Saccharomyces cerevisiae S288C: one gene and its partner. The protein of the gene in region 2 binds, or shares a complex with, the protein of the main gene of each other region. Each region holds a gene or a part of one and is shown on either strand. Other genes may lie near its edges. A codon is read from its position in the direction of its gene.

What was found.
Region 1: the proteins of RBG1 (region 2) and TMA46 are in contact, whole or in part, in a crystal structure (PDB 4A9A), measured with the Saccharomyces cerevisiae proteins. Residues at the interface, in NP_009364.1 of Saccharomyces cerevisiae: Ser83 (codon at 1,681), Lys84 (codon at 1,678), Leu85 (codon at 1,675), Thr86 (codon at 1,672), Gly87 (codon at 1,669), Thr88 (codon at 1,666), Glu89 (codon at 1,663), Val106 (codon at 1,612), Ile107 (codon at 1,609), Arg108 (codon at 1,606), Tyr109 (codon at 1,603), Lys110 (codon at 1,600), Gly111 (codon at 1,597), Lys113 (codon at 1,591), Leu150 (codon at 1,480), Val152 (codon at 1,474), Pro155 (codon at 1,465), Leu156 (codon at 1,462), Lys159 (codon at 1,453), Leu249 (codon at 1,183), Ile252 (codon at 1,174), Asp253 (codon at 1,171), Ser254 (codon at 1,168), Leu255 (codon at 1,165), Ser256 (codon at 1,162), Ile257 (codon at 1,159), Glu258 (codon at 1,156), Glu259 (codon at 1,153), Leu260 (codon at 1,150), Glu261 (codon at 1,147); in NP_014734.2 of Saccharomyces cerevisiae: Gln217 (codon at 938), Pro218 (codon at 935), Lys219 (codon at 932), Ile220 (codon at 929), Thr221 (codon at 926), Leu222 (codon at 923), Glu223 (codon at 920), Phe225 (codon at 914), Ile226 (codon at 911), Glu227 (codon at 908), Glu229 (codon at 902), Arg230 (codon at 899), Leu233 (codon at 890), Lys237 (codon at 878), Leu238 (codon at 875), Thr239 (codon at 872), Pro240 (codon at 869), Ile241 (codon at 866), Thr242 (codon at 863), Ile243 (codon at 860), Asn245 (codon at 854), Phe246 (codon at 851), Trp249 (codon at 842), Lys250 (codon at 839), His253 (codon at 830), Lys257 (codon at 818), Lys269 (codon at 782), Pro270 (codon at 779), Thr271 (codon at 776), Gly272 (codon at 773).

Annotation. Positions count from the first base shown.
Region 1 is NC_001147.6:491,164-495,018, reverse strand, and holds TMA46 (translation machinery-associated protein TMA46), read right to left. Parts: upstream 1,587-3,855; coding exon 549-1,586; downstream 1-548. Other genes in the region: type 2C protein phosphatase PTC5, read left to right, coding at 2,178-3,855.
Region 2 is NC_001133.9:74,226-77,950, forward strand, and holds RBG1 (GTP-binding protein RBG1), read right to left. Parts: upstream 1,928-3,725; coding exon 818-1,927; downstream 1-817. Other genes in the region: YAL037W (uncharacterized protein), read left to right, coding at 1-598; FUN12 (translation initiation factor eIF5B), read left to right, coding at 2,202-3,725. UniProt on the Saccharomyces cerevisiae protein: Involved in ribosomal function.

The DNA of each region.
Region 1 (3,855 bases), on a different chromosome or scaffold from region 2:
TCAACAATACGCAGTTTCTGTACAAATGTAAAGTCTGAAAAACCTAATATAAAGAAAAATTGCGAGGCTTCTGAGAAGAAATTCCGGATGCCCTATGATGAAAGTCTATATTAAAAACAATGAAAGGCCTATTATATAACAAAAATTACAAGCATATAATAACGGTGCAAGAGTAACAGATGGTAGCGTACGAAGGAGGGATGCGTCAAACATATATTCAGGCCCTCTAAGTATATAGCCTCATCCCCCGAGGCTGCAAAGAGATGCAGTGAAAGGAAGCTCAACTATCACCGATTGTGAAATAGAGAGCAAAACTCGAGCACTTTTAATCCCAGATATTGTCGGGCGGATCCGAGGTGAAAAAACACCTCAACAACGTGGGGGCGTGGGGCGTGGGATATCGAAAGGGGCAAAAAGACGGCAGATAAGCATGGGCCGCGGTCGTGCTGCGTGATCAGCTACATGACGTGACATGCTTTGTGTTGGTGTGTGTGCGTGTATTATATATACGGTGGCATATATACAGTTTAGTCTATATGAATTTTAGACTATGCGAGCGTGGCGGAGTTGGCTTTTTTGATGTCGAAGGTGGGGTTGCTACCGTCACCGTAGTCCTTGATGCCGCCGTCGTCTTGGTGGTCAGCCTTCTTCAAGGCATCTGTGAATTCAGTAAGATCCCATGCGGATCCCTGGGTGACGTCGTCTGGCATGTCGGCGTTGTCCGTCTCAAATGACTTGTTTTCGGCGCTCATCTTAAGAATGATTTCTCTACCAGTAGGTTTCCTCTTACTAGATAACTTCTTTTCAGCGTTAATCTTTGCGATGACGTGGTCCTTCTTCCATTGGGCGAAGTTGGCAATTGTTATTGGTGTTAGCTTGGATTTGTCTAGTTTCCCTCTTTCTGTTTCGATAAACTCCTCCAGCGTAATTTTTGGCTGTTTCTCGAGCGACTCCCTCTCGAGCCTCTTTTGCTCGTTGGTTTTCAGCACAAAGCCCTCTGGTAGGGAGTGTCTGTACATACATTTGTCACCTCCGTTAGGACAAATCCAAAACCAACCGTATTTACCGTTTTCCACGGCCTCGATGAAGTATTTGCATACTTTGTCGGTGGTGGTCTTTGGGTTACCGTGCTTCGACAGGATAACTTTTCTCAGCTTTTCTTCATCCCAGTTGTCCATTGTGTCATTTTCCTTTTCACTTCTTGTATCTTGGTATAAATCTTTCTTTTCCATTCTTCTACCGACGTTCAAGTCATGTGAGAACTTACATTTGGCACCTTTGTTACAATTCCCCAGTTTGAACAGAGCACAAACCATGGACTTGGGATCTACACCCGCACGAACCCTTTGGTCTGCTACAGGGTTGAATAGTGCTCTTCGTTCAGCTTCTTCGGCTTCTCTGCGCTTTTTTTCTTCGAGTTTCTTTAACCTCATCTCTTCTTTCTTGGGGTCGGATTGTGATTGCACTTGTTTGATGTATTTTTGGACTTTGGTAGAACGGTTCTTGTTCTTCATACCGAACGTCTTGTCGACATTATCCTTCTTCTTACCAGCCGCTTGGGCCTGTTTTCCCTTTTTTGGTGGCATCTTCGAAATATAACTTTCCTGCGATTTTATATGTGTAAAGCCCAGAGGTTTACTAATAGAGTGGCTTCCCTTGCTTTCTAGAAATAGTAAAACACATTGATTAAAAAAAGATATATTGTCGATTTTCACTAACTCATCGCTGGGGAACAAAAATTTTTTCATTATCATCACAGTTCATCATGTTCGACGAGCTACGTGCCAATTCATTTCCTCCACTAGTCTCCAACTTAAGAAATACTCTCAGAGGTTGCAATCTTGTGCTGTTCAGGGTGTGATGGGCAGCATTGACTAAATTTCCTTATCCCTTGCATAGTTACATTCTTAGTTATCAGGTATTGGCGACCAATTGCATACATTTTTATTTTCTACTTTAAAACTCAGTAATGAGCAGTTACCGGCCCTTCATTATGTAGAAAAACAGGATTCACTTCTTTCTACACAAGATACAAAAAAGAAAAAAAGGATCGATTGGAGGGTAAACGAAATCGTGTGATAGGCAGGAAAAGAAACATCTATTGCTACTTTAATTGAATTTGTGCTCTACTGAAATTTTTCAACAGAAGAAGTGCTTTTACTTCTCTCAATCTCTCCATGTCTCCCTTAACTAGAACCGTAGCTATAAAGAAAACGGTTAAGGTTCTATCTAAATGTCAATCTGGTAGAGAATACACACAGAAGTTTCTCCAACGTGCATATTCAACATCACATGCCAACAGCACATACTATTCAAGGACAAAGCTATTCATATCATCACATTCTAAAGCTCTAAACATTGCTCTACTAAGCGGGTCCCTACTGTTGACCTACTCCTACTATTCCCCTAAAAAGATCCTCTCCCTTGATACAATTAACGGAATAAAAGATTATTCTACAAATACTAGTGGTAACATTAACATGCCGTCACCTAATCCAAAAGGAACAGAGACACAAAAGAGTCAACGGTCTCAGAATGACCAATCTGTTCTTATCTTGAACGATTCTAAAATAGAGGCTAAACTACATGATAGAGAGGAAAGCCATTTTGTTAACCGTGGCACTGGTATATTCAGGTATGATGTGGCACAGTTGCCCTCTAACCATCCAATAGAAGACGATCACGTAGAACAAATCATTACCATTCCGATAGAAAGTGAGGATGGCAAGTCCATAGAGAAGGATTTGTATTTTTTTGGAATTTTTGATGGACATGGTGGTCCTTTCACTTCGGAAAAATTATCTAAAGATCTAGTCCGTTATGTAGCGTATCAATTAGGTCAGGTATATGACCAGAACAAAACGGTTTTCCATTCCGACCCCAACCAATTAATCGATTCTGCAATTTCGAAAGGTTTTTTGAAACTAGATAATGATCTTGTAATCGAATCGTTCAGGAAGCTGTTTCAAGATCCAAACAACACAAATATTGCAAACACTTTACCAGCGATTTCTGGTTCTTGTGCACTATTAAGTTTATACAACTCCACTAACTCAATTTTGAAAGTGGCTGTCACTGGAGACTCAAGGGCTTTAATTTGTGGTTTGGACAACGAGGGCAATTGGACGGTAAAGTCGCTATCCACCGACCAGACCGGTGATAATTTGGATGAAGTACGGAGAATTAGGAAAGAACATCCAGGAGAACCAAACGTTATAAGAAACGGAAGAATATTGGGTTCATTACAACCATCCAGGGCATTTGGAGACTATCGCTACAAGATCAAAGAAGTCGATGGAAAACCATTATCGGATTTGCCTGAAGTTGCCAAACTTTATTTTAGAAGAGAGCCAAGGGATTTCAAGACACCCCCATATGTCACTGCGGAACCAGTGATTACTTCTGCCAAAATTGGTGAGAACACTAAATTTATGGTGATGGGTTCGGATGGTTTATTCGAATTACTAACTAATGAAGAAATTGCTTCCTTGGTTATCAGGTGGATGGATAAAAATATGAATCTGGCACCTGTGAAGGCAGAACCGGGGAAATTACCAAAAGTTATCGATGTATCTGAAGACAAGGAAGCACAAAGACCGGCATTCAGGTACAAGGATAATAATTCGAGCTCACCATCAGGATCAAACCCAGAGTATCTTATTGAAGACAAAAACGTCGCCACTCATTTAATTAGAAATGCATTAAGTGCGGGCGGAAGAAAAGAATATGTATCGGCATTGGTAAGTATACCATCGCCGATGAGTAGAAGATACAGAGATGACTTGACAGTAACAGTGGCGTTCTTTGGTGATTCTGGAACACCCTCAATTGTCTCCAATGCTACTTCAATAGTTA
Region 2 (3,725 bases):
AGTCGTGAATCTTTGCTCACCAACTACAGCAGCAGTAGCAACAAAGAAGGCCGCAATTGATTTGTATATACGAAACAATACAATACTACTACAGAAATTCGTTGGACAGTACTTGCAGATGGGCAAAAAGATAAAAACATCTTTAACACAGGCACAAACCGATACAATCCAATCACTGCCCCAGTTTTGTAATTCGAATGTCCTCAGTGGTGAGCCCTTGGTACAGTACCAGGCATTCAACGATCTGTTGGCACTCTTTAAGTCATTTAGTCATTTTGGAAATATCTTGGTTATATCATCACATTCCTATGATTGCGCACTTCTCAAATTTCTTATTTCCAGGGTGATGACCTACTATCCACTAGTGACCATCCAGGATTCTTTGCAATATATGAAAGCAACCCTGAACATATCCATCAGTACATCCGATGAGTTCGATATTCTGAATGATAAAGAACTGTGGGAGTTTGGCCAAACCCAGGAAATTCTAAAACGTAGGCAGACGAGCTCAGTCAAGAGGAGATGTGTCAATTTACCAGAAAACTCTACGATCGATAACAGAATGCTTATGGGTACCACAAAGCGAGGTCGCTTTTGAAGAGCCCTCGGTAGCATAACATTTTTAATTATTACGACTGTTTTTTTTATTCATTATGTAGAGATAATTAAATGTTATAGATGCTCTATACTCAAACGGTGGAAGAAAAACAGCGAAAAAAAATAACCGATACCCCCTTTTCGAATACAAATGCTTGTATATTCAATTATGAATTATTTTTTTTTTTTTTCATTTCTTATATTATTTTTTGTTCGAGAATCACTTTTTCAAGATGGTAACAACATCTTCGTCTTCCAAAATGTGACTCAACCCCACGTATTGAGGTTGATGTTTGACACTGCTACCGTAAACCAGAGCATTTCTAAAGTCGTCCACTAAAGATTTATGAATTTGGTTACAAAAATCCTTGACACTGCAACGGTCTGATCTTAGCACCACAGGGTCGGTAAAATCTGGTATTTGGCCCTTTGGTTTAGTGTAAATACGGACTAGATTTAGTCTATCCCACATGACTTGCAACAGCTCGTCCAAGTTCCAATCTTGACCAGACGAAATAGGCACGGCATTAGGAATTCGGTAAAGTAATTCCAATTCCTCTATTGACAGAGAATCAATCTTGTTTAACACATAGATGGCAGGCATGTATCTTCTTGACGAAGCTTCCAAAACATCAATCAAATCATCCACAGTGGCATCACACCTGAAGGCAATCTCAGCGCTATTTATTCTGTACTCGCTCATAACGGCTCTGATTTCGTCATTCCCCAGATGGGTCAATGGGACTGTGTTTGTGATGGAAATACCACCTTTCTCTTTTTTTTTGATCAAGATATCTGGCGGAGTTTTATTCAGACGAATCCCCACACCTTCCAGTTCCTTCTCAATGATTTGCTTATGATGCAAGGGTTTGTTCACATCTAGGATGATAAATAACAGGTTACAGGTTCTTGCCACGGCAATAACTTGCTTACCTCTACCTCTACCATCCTTAGCACCATCGATAATACCAGGTAAATCCAACATTTGGATCTTGGCACCTTTATAACGAATGACACCGGGGACGGTAACCAGGGTGGTAAACTCGTACTCAGCTGCTTCAGACTCAGTACCAGTCAACTTGGACAGTAATGTAGATTTCCCCACCGACGGGAACCCGACAAACCCCACACTGGCCACACCAGTTCTAGCCACATCAAAACCAATACCAGCACCACCACCGCTGCCGGATGAAGCACTGGTCAACAATTCTCTTCTCAGTTTGGCCAGCTTGGCCTTCAGTTGACCCAAATGGAAAGATGTGGCCTTGTTCTTTTGGGTACGGGCCATTTCATCTTCGATAGCTTTGATTTTTTCAACTGTAGTAGACATTTTGCTCAATCAACAACTCTACGCTTGCACCTACTGCATCTAGCTTCAAACACTTCCTATCATTGCGCCCTCATCACACCGTAATATCCCATCTTAAAAGTGGAAAACTCTTATAGCTCATCGATGAAAAAAACGGGCCCTCGTCGCTTGTGATGTGAAAAAATTTTTCAAGCTTTAAGCCCATTGAAAGCAAGAGATCTTGCACTAGAATAAGTGGCAAAGGTGAACTTTGAGGGGATAAGAAGGGCAATCAGGAACATCAGATAAGTGAAAGATGGCGAAAAAGAGTAAAAAGAACCAACAGAACTACTGGGATGAGGAATTCGAAGAAGACGCCGCCCAGAACGAAGAAATCAGTGCCACGCCAACTCCAAATCCAGAAAGCAGCGCAGGTGCAGATGACACTTCCAGAGAAGCAAGTGCAAGTGCTGAAGGTGCTGAGGCCATTGAAGGCGACTTCATGTCTACTTTGAAGCAATCGAAGAAGAAGCAAGAAAAGAAGGTTATTGAAGAGAAGAAGGATGGTAAGCCTATACTAAAGTCCAAGAAGGAAAAGGAGAAGGAAAAAAAGGAAAAGGAGAAGCAGAAGAAGAAAGAACAAGCTGCCAGGAAGAAGGCCCAACAGCAAGCTCAAAAGGAGAAGAACAAGGAGTTGAACAAGCAAAATGTTGAAAAAGCTGCTGCTGAGAAGGCTGCTGCTGAGAAATCCCAAAAATCTAAAGGTGAAAGTGATAAACCAAGTGCTAGTGCTAAGAAGCCAGCCAAGAAAGTACCTGCCGGTTTGGCTGCTTTGAGACGTCAATTAGAATTGAAGAAACAACTTGAAGAACAAGAAAAGTTGGAAAGAGAGGAAGAAGAAAGATTGGAGAAAGAAGAGGAGGAAAGATTGGCCAACGAAGAAAAAATGAAGGAAGAAGCTAAAGCAGCTAAAAAGGAAAAGGAGAAGGCAAAGCGTGAAAAACGAAAGGCTGAAGGTAAGCTATTGACCAGAAAGCAAAAAGAAGAAAAGAAATTATTGGAAAGAAGACGTGCCGCTTTATTGTCTTCCGGTAACGTCAAAGTTGCCGGTCTGGCCAAGAAGGATGGAGAAGAAAACAAACCAAAGAAGGTTGTTTACAGCAAGAAGAAGAAGAGAACAACCCAGGAAAACGCCTCCGAAGCCATTAAATCTGACTCTAAGAAAGACTCGGAAGTTGTACCTGATGACGAACTCAAAGAATCCGAAGATGTTTTGATTGATGATTGGGAAAATTTGGCTCTTGGTGATGATGACGAGGAGGGAACCAACGAAGAAACGCAAGAATCCACCGCAAGCCATGAAAATGAAGACCAAAATCAAGGCGAAGAAGAAGAAGAAGGAGAAGAAGAAGAAGAAGAAGAAGAAGAAAGAGCACATGTGCATGAAGTTGCCAAAAGCACACCAGCAGCTACACCAGCAGCTACTCCAACTCCATCCAGCGCTTCTCCAAACAAAAAAGATCTTCGTTCCCCAATTTGTTGTATTTTGGGTCATGTCGATACCGGTAAGACTAAATTGTTAGACAAAATCAGACAAACCAACGTTCAAGGTGGTGAAGCTGGTGGCATCACCCAACAGATTGGTGCCACTTATTTCCCCATCGACGCTATTAAGGCAAAAACTAAAGTTATGGCTGAATATGAAAAACAAACTTTTGATGTCCCAGGTCTTTTGGTTATTGATACCCCAGGTCACGAATCCTTCTCTAACTTACGTTCAAGAGGTTCTTCATTGTGTAACATCGCAATTTTGGTTATTGACATTATGCATGGTTTGGAA